2 linked regions of the Coturnix japonica genome follow. The protein of the gene in region 1 purifies or fractionates together with the protein of each later gene. This does not show direct contact. Links are inferred from orthologs where the notes say so. Each region holds a gene or a part of one and is shown on either strand. Other genes may lie near its edges. The genes, in order: CDK13 and CCNK.

The links.
Region 2: the proteins of CDK13 (region 1) and CCNK purify together in Homo sapiens (affinity purification with mass spectrometry; 4 studies listed by BioGRID and IntAct, counting the BioPlex papers as one, with this or other methods). This does not show direct contact. The link is inferred for Coturnix japonica from reciprocal best matches to the Homo sapiens genes CDK13 and CCNK.

What each region holds. Positions count from the first base shown.
Region 1 is NC_029517.1:76,677,143-76,680,957, forward strand, and holds part of CDK13 (cyclin-dependent kinase 13), read right to left. Parts: intron 2,874-3,815; coding exon 2,668-2,873; intron 1-2,667. UniProt on the Homo sapiens protein: Cyclin-dependent kinase which displays CTD kinase activity and is required for RNA splicing.
Region 2 is NC_029520.1:43,658,383-43,662,773, reverse strand, and holds the start of CCNK (cyclin-K), read right to left. Parts: upstream 2,830-4,391; 5' UTR 2,695-2,829; intron 1,616-2,694; exon of another isoform or gene 1,597-1,615; intron 1,408-1,596; 5' UTR 1,346-1,407; coding exon 1,149-1,345; intron 220-1,148; coding exon 138-219; intron 1-137. UniProt on the Homo sapiens protein: Regulatory subunit of cyclin-dependent kinases that mediates activation of target kinases.

The sequences.
Region 1 (3,815 bases):
ATGAGATACATCAAGCTGAAGCTCAATTTTCCACAATACAACTAAGCTGGGGCTTAAGGCCACCTGCTTTAGGCAGCTGTAAGATTTCCAATCCCCACAAAATTTCCTATCCTTGACATATCACATCCCTCTGTTAAAAAGTGGCCATCTGCAAAACGCATTTCCAGTCACATTCTGGCCTGTCTAATTCAGCATCTGGATTCTAACACCTGCTCCAGTGACCAGGCTGTAGGTGACCCAGAAGCTAGCAGTATCAGTGCAAGAAAGCAAATGCTGAGCTTGAAGGACAAGTCAATATCAATGAGTAGCAGGAAAATGTAGGTTGATAAGGTACACTTGTTTGTTTGTTTTATATAACTGTGTTTATTTGACACAAGTAAGAGGAGATTGATGAAGGGGAAGATAAGAAAGTTAGTCAGAATACAGAAGTATTTTCTGAATTTCAAGCAGTCACTGCGTCAGTTTATTTTGAAAGGAGAAGTGAAGCTACACGCCCCACAACTAGATGGATCTTAAGAAAGAAGGTGGAAATTAAAATGGATATGTTTTTCTCCAAGTCTGTTTAACCCAAGTCAACATGAGCATATTCTTCCTTCCTGTTAATACACTAAGACATTCATTTCTGGCAGATTCAAAGCCACACCTGAGAAAAACAGTCACACAAAAAATTAAGTAGTTGCCTTGCAAGACTAAGAAGAGCACAGCTGGAAAGTGCTGCAAAACTCACAGCCAATTAATTACCCTACTTGTGGATGTACACCAGGATGCAAACACTACTCTGGAAGGTTCTAAGGACTTTAAAGATTTTATATGTCTAAAAACAAAAATAAAACCATCCTTTATTTAACAGTAGATAAAAACTACTATTTTTAATGCCTCGTACTGCTGGACTTCACCCAGCTGTCACGCTGAACAGTATTTTGTGATATCTGAGGATGGTATGCTCAAGAAGATAACAAAGTACATTCAAATTTCTCTCAGTTTGTCAGTGTGCAAATTCAGCAGAAAGTACCCCCAAAAGGTAACTAACCTACCTGTTACATACTCTTTGGCTAGTTTCAAGTCCGTTCCAAGAACAAACTATACTCTGGGAAACCTATCAGTTTCTACCAGAACAAAATGAATGAGCTGTATGCAGTTCCTGTTAAATTATAAGATACAATAACCAGGGTTCTCAGTCATGAAGCATAACATCAGCAATTTATCTAGTTTTAACCTCTTTTTGGCACACACACAAAAAAAAAGCAACAGTTTTGTTTAAAGCATGCATTTTCCATTTGTACACTTAATCCTTTAGCATGCCTTATGGATGATTTTAACTAAGGTTTACCAGGATTTCAGGAAGAGCTGCACTTAATACAGAAAACACCTATATGCTGACCTGTCTAGGCTCCAATGAAAATTTCTTTTATACCTAGATATACTTTTCTACCCGATCATGTGCAAACAGTATTTTAGCTCTGAAAGGTTTCTTTCCCTTTTTTTTTTTTTTTAAATGTTTCGTTTTTATGTCTGATTAATACAGTAGGTCGGCAACATGCTAACTGCTACAGAAGCACAAGGAAAACTACTACTATCCACTGGGCTTTAAAACTCAGTTTTCATTTGTAGGGATAAAGTTGCAAGGGCTATAGAAAGACATCTTTGAAAATACAGCCAAAATATTAGTTCAGAGTGAGTGGCAGAAGCTCACAGCCAGCTTATCAGCTTGTAGTAAGAAACAGGATGAATAGGAACAAGAAGCAATAACCTGCAGTAAAAATACAATGAAAATATCAATATGTACATATTTAACGTTTATCTTTGCATAGTATATTTGGAGTTCTGCTCCATTGTTAAATGAAGAGTTGATTCAAGACAGCTAGTATTCAAGAACTACTATGCTCAGTGAACCATGTATTGATTTTCTGCAGATGAACATCTGTGTAAGTGTCATAGGATTTAAGGTCACTTTGCGCAATTAAAAATGGTCTAAACTAAACTTACCAGGTATGTATTCATTGCTGATCATCTCAACTGGTTTCCACATAAGGAGACCATTACTTTACTATTTATATTATTCTTCACTACATAAGCATCCAAGCAAGACATTTCAGTTAAGTTTCTGAATTACTGGCTGTGTAAGCTGCAGAGGTAGTTACTACTTTTTAATAAGTTATTTGGGTGGTTGGTTTGTTTTTGTTTGTTAGTTTATTGTTTCTTTTCTGAGTTGGTTTAGCGCAAACAGCTTGGAAACATGAAGGCTAAAGTGACATGCTGAGGTAATCTCTTCTATTTGAAGTCATGGCTGTTATAAAGTCTGCCTTCTTGCCAATTTTTCAGTACCAACATAGCTCCCCCAATCTATGAAGACTATGATGAACTTAGAGTATGAACAAACTAGTAGGATTACAGAAGATTTACTGGTGAGTATGGGATAAAACCTCCTCAAAAATACAAAGCAAGATAGTTGCTCTGGCTTGATTTAAAAAAATAAATAATGTGAATAAAAAGTAATGCCTAGTTCCCAAAAATAAAGGCAAATCTTTTGTAACAAAGATTTAACTTACAATAATGTTCCCTCCTTCAAGAATCCAGGAGACGTCAATACTCTGAAAATAACACCTAAAATTTCTAAAGGTGCAATCCAAGCAGAAAGTAATTTTAAGAACTGAAAATATTACTGACCAAGTGCTACACTAGAGTTGCCCTGAGTTTTGAGTTGGGAAGAAGTTTGCATGCCTTGTGGGGTGTTGGTTCTGCTCTCATCCATGCCTAGAGACAGATCCTTCCTAGGGACTTTAGTCACTGTTGCATCATCAGTCATGCCCATTTGCTTCTGTCTTCTGCGTTTTTTACTCCAGAGCTCATGGCAATCCTGCCACAAAGGAAGGCTGCAAAGAACAATTAGAGATCATCAGTTTTATACCAGATTTACAAAAAATGTTTTTTAACCACCATGGTAAAATACACATTCAAATTATGCATTACACAGCATTTGAAAAGATTAACCTGCTGGAATTTAGAAATACACTGGGAAACATCCAAAGCCAGATACGCTTTCCTGGGTAAAATCTCTTTTTCAGTTGCCTATTTCACAAATGCAGATCTTTCTCGCAAAGAACAGGAACGTGCATCTTACTATGAGAATGTCACTTTCTTGCTTGTATAAGCACCACATCCGTGCAGTTACATTTGTTCACAGTAACAGAGGTAGCTATCCAGTATTGGTAACTATACAGCATAGGCAACTAAAAAAGGGGAAAAAAAAATGTGGCAGGAATAAACAGTATTTAACACTAACAAATTTAGGTGGCTAGGAAGAACAAGGGATACCTCTAGTCCTTTAAGACAGATAAAAACAGGGGAAAAATATCTTCTACAGAACTCATCTGACATTAGTTCAGTCTTCTCATTATTATTCCTCCCTACAGGCATCCGAATTCGGATCTCTTGAGGAACACAGAATCCCATCCCATAGCTTATGGAAATACTGAGATATGGCATTAAAACAGGTCCTTCTGTTTTCCCTTTGCATATTAGTAGTAACTGTCTGAGCAGTTCTCTCACCCAGGAACGTGTAAAAAATGAGGTGACAGATGATAAGAATCACTGGAAAGGAAATTTTGACAGTTGCTTTCTACATTGTCTTCCTCCACAGAACAGCAGGTCAAAAGACCTGACAGGTATTTAGTCAACAACAGCTTGGATCAATCAAGAAACTATGAGAATTATCCTACTGTACTTGCAGTCAGCACTGAGCATGGTTCTTCCAAGTGAGCAACTTTATTCTTTCTTGAGAAGTCATCATTTTCATTTCACTATGACAAATGTTG
Region 2 (4,391 bases), on another chromosome or scaffold:
GAGATAAAAAGTTAATATTTAATCATTTTATTCAGCAAGAGCTGTGCAAGGAGTAATGCCCTCGACTTGTAGTCATTTCAGAAAGCCTATCCTTCATGTAATCACAGTATTAGGTAATCAATATTGTAAATACTTACATATCTTGGGAACTGTTTGAAGGAATGAAACATATAAAACCGATGGAAATAAATTATTCCTGTTGCTAAAGTATCATAGTGTCTGTGGTGCAGGATAAGGAACTTCAAGAAAGTCACAGAACAAATGTAAAATCAAACACACCCAATGAAAAAGATACACTCTGATATATCAAATATCTCAAGGAACTGTCCACTCAGCGACTGGCTGAAAAACACTGCAATTAAAAGAGAAACAGAAGCCACACCCCCTTAGGATTGTGCAAATTCTATCCAGATGCAGCCGACACCTAAAGCATTTACTGGGAGTAAGAAAAGCCCATATCACATCTATGCGTGGTCATCTGCGTGATAAGCACCATCATCAAGAAGGTCAAAAGCAGAATTAGGCACAAACAGGAGTAAAAGTGTCGCTTTGTATCACACCTCATGAAACTGTTACTGCAGGAAATAGTTACTAAATATTCATACCTACAAACACAGCTGCAACATGAACGGGCTCCCTACTATTCTTTGCCAGAATAAATGCAAAATTATATCTTCAAGATCTATTAAACAAAGAACTCACGGGATTAAAAGAAGTAACAGGGATATAGCAAGCAAAAAGTTTGAGTGGTATCCATGAGTTGAGACAATGGGGAGAAATTACCAACATACATAAAGTTGTAGATTCCACCCTATAAGAAAAACAAAGTGGGGGGTGGTGGATCACAGGTTGGAATCTCCAAAGTTAAACAATATAGAAAAATAAACATAAAATTCAAAGTTTGAGAAATCATATAAGAGGCCATATCTGGTAACCGCCAGAATATCCATAATTGACAAAACTAAACTCTCTTGCTTCTCAGAAAACACCTTGATTACCCAACAAATGGCTAAAACTATCAAGTAACACTCAGAAAGATTTTTGATTCATGATAAAGAAACATTAGAACAACTAGCTACACATATTCTGCAATATTTAACTCTTAAAACCCCCGTTCATCAACACTTTATCAGGAGTTTAAAGGATACAGCCCTAAACGTGTTCCCACATCAAATATGAACCTGGCTCCCTCCCTGCGGTACCGTGCCTCGGTGGCTGGATCAAGCCCTTCAAGCTGTGAAGGTGTATGTGCCAAATCTTTCTTATCCCAGTACCAGCATGGCTTTGTATGGTCCAGATTTGCCAAGTTTACAGAAGGGCTGGAGTTTTCTTTATTCTCCTTCATTTATTAGAACTGATCTTGCTTGATATGGCTTCAAAAAAGTTTCCAGTTAGGAGCTTTGGAACCTTTAAGAAAAGCAAAAAGAACTTATGTTAAAATGAAGGGGAATCTTTTTTCCATGCTCACAGACAAGTAATATTTAACCACGTTTTCATCTTCCTGACATAATGCAAATACAATTCAAAGACTAGATTTATATATGATTACTTTTGCAATTCTTTGATAGAGAAACTTCAACGTTTTATCAAAAGCACCTGCTACTTTTCTGTAGAACAACTTTAATCCATTTTGTCCATAAAATAAGACTGAACAATTTAGTGATAGCAGCAGCAAGATTTGAACAGCTGAAAGAGGGAGATGAAATCAAATCACTCTTCATAAACCAGGACACATATGTTAGGTCAGCCTGAAAGGAATTTAAACACAGAATCACAGAATGACCCGGGTTGGAAGGGACCTCAAGGATCATGTAGTTCCAACCCCCCTGCCTGGCAGGGCCACCAAACATACACCTTTACTAGATCAGGTTGCCCAGGGCCCCGTCCAACCTGGTCTTGAACACCTCCAAGGACGGGGCATCCACAACCTCCCTGGGCAGCCTGTTCCAGGGTCTAACCACTCTCCTAGAGAAGAACTTCCCCCTAACATCCAACCTAAATCTTCCCTCTTTTAATTTAAAACCATTTCCCCGTGTCCTGCTATTGTCAGCACTTTACTGGGTCTCTTGGAAACACTACCAGAATGGCAACACTTGGATAAAACCTTTGTTAAATCATCTGCACTTGAGTTACTTAAGAAAAAAACAGTAGAGTAGAGATGCATGTTAAAAAGATCATGAAGATCAAGGCAACTGAGATAGGTCTGTCTGGTCAGGTGCCACCTACAATCACTGCACTCAAGGGCCTCCCCATCTCGCCGTGCTGACACAGCCCTGTGCCCGCTGTCACACACAGGCCAACAGCCGCTTACAGCTCTGTCCGGCTCCCCCCCTCATTTACGGCTCTGCAGCCGTTTCGGTTCCTCCCCACGGCGACTTTTAAGGAGCTTTTTAAAGAGCCGGGCCCGCTTCTGTCACAGCCACTTCCGCGTGCGGAGCCCCGCAGCCCCGACACCGCCTCTCCCCGCCCCCCCCCCGGCACACAGCGCCCCGGGGCCGCCCCCTCCGGACCCCGCCAGCCCCGAGGAGCCCTGGGGTCCCCGATCACGGCTCCCTCGCACTCCCCTCAGGGAGCGGCCTTCGCACCCGGCTCCGTGCCACCTCCCCCGCTCACACAGACACCCGGTGCCCCCGCTCCCCGCCTCAGGAGCGGGCCCCCACCCGTAGAAGGCCGCCCAGCTCCCCGCGCACTCACAGGCCTCGCGTGGGACAGCGGAGCGTTGTGGAGCGCCGGGCCTCTAACGACAGCGCGGCCCCCGCGCTCTGCGCGCCGCCATCTTGGGAAGCAGGTCGGTCCGCTCGCTGCGGCGTCACGTCAACGTCACCGGGACTCAGCGCGCCAGCCCCGAGCGGCGGCCAATGAGAAGCGGCGGAACCTTCCCGCAACCAATCCCGTCTGTTTCAGTGGCTGCTAAGCGCGAGGAGCAGTCTCCCCTCGCCTTAGAATGGACCAATCAAAGGGCTTAGAGGACAAGATTGCAAACCTCGCAAGCCAATGAGATGCCGAAGGAGTGAGCTCTCTCCCAGCCAATGCGGGAGCCGCCATGCCCTTTTTTAGTGCCTACAGGCGAGGCAGCGGATTGGCTGCCGAGCGTCCCGCTGGGGGCGGGGCTTGCCTTGTGGCCGTGCTTTGACCAATAGCAGCACGGGGGCGGGGCCGTGCGCTGGCCGTGCGGGGTTGGGCCTCACTCGCCCTCCGCCTCCCACCCGCGGGCAGCGGCGTCCGGCGGAGGGACGGGCTGGGTCCGGCGCCGCTCCCAGCAGCCGAGGCCGCGGCCGCTCCGTGCGGGAGGTAAGTGCAGGCGGTGCCGGGACCCCTCGGGCTTCGGCCTCCCGCACGGCGGGCTCGTTCCCGGAGCCCTTCCCTCCGCGGCCCTCCCCGCCGCCTCCCTTCCTGCGCTCCTCCGGCCCAGGCCTCGCCGCCCCCTCGCTTTCCTCCCTCCGCCGCGTTTCTCCCTCCGTTGTGATGAGGCTGTGCTGAGCCCGGTGCAACCTCTCTTTCCAGCCTGGCCCTCGGAGGCCGGAGCGGGACGCCCGGCTTGGAGCTGCTTTCCCCGTGATGTCATCCCTTCCCTTTCCATCACGCTGCCCGCTCCTTCCTTTCGCTCCCTCTGACCCTCCCGTTCACCAGCACTAAATCCGGGGCGGGGGGCCGTAGCGTTGGGTCAAACGTCAAATAACTTCTGAGTCCCCTTTAAGCTGTTTGCCTGCAAGCAAGTCGCTCTTTGGGCAGCTCGGTGCTGCTGAAACCCAACTTTGCACAGCTGTTCCTCATCCTCTTCCCGCCCATGCACTCATCGGGTTGCTTAAGTGAAGCTTGTGGTCTGCAGTTGTCTTTAGTTCTGAACAGCTTCCTCAATTTGCAATTGATTTGCTGCCCAAACACAGCACAGAGTTGTCAGAACAATCCCAGCTTTCGTTTTGGAAGCTGTTCTATGCAGCATAGAGTTTGGGCTGAGAAGCCTGGTACCTGCTCTTCTATGAACTTGATTTTGCTCATGAGTTGAAGCTGTGTGCAACTTCTGTCTCCCTTCTGAGAATGTGTAATATATATATATATGTAATATATAACCTGTCTCTTCAAATGATGCCTCATAAAATCACAAGGTTGAAAAGGACCTACAAGATCATCTAGTCCAACCGTCCTCCCTTTACCATACCTACAGAAAACCTCTAAACCATATCTTCTAGCTCTCTATCCAGATGCTTCTTGGATGCCTCTGTTCTATGGGTGTTAACAACGTTACTTTGACATCTCAACTCTTCTCCTTTCAGTTGTAAGCTTGTTTAAAAACCAAATAAAAAGTGTACTGAAACTCCTGTAGGTGAGTAAATGGCCGTACTGTTCTGAATGCCCCACATCTGGTTCATGGTATAAAATGTACAGTGTAA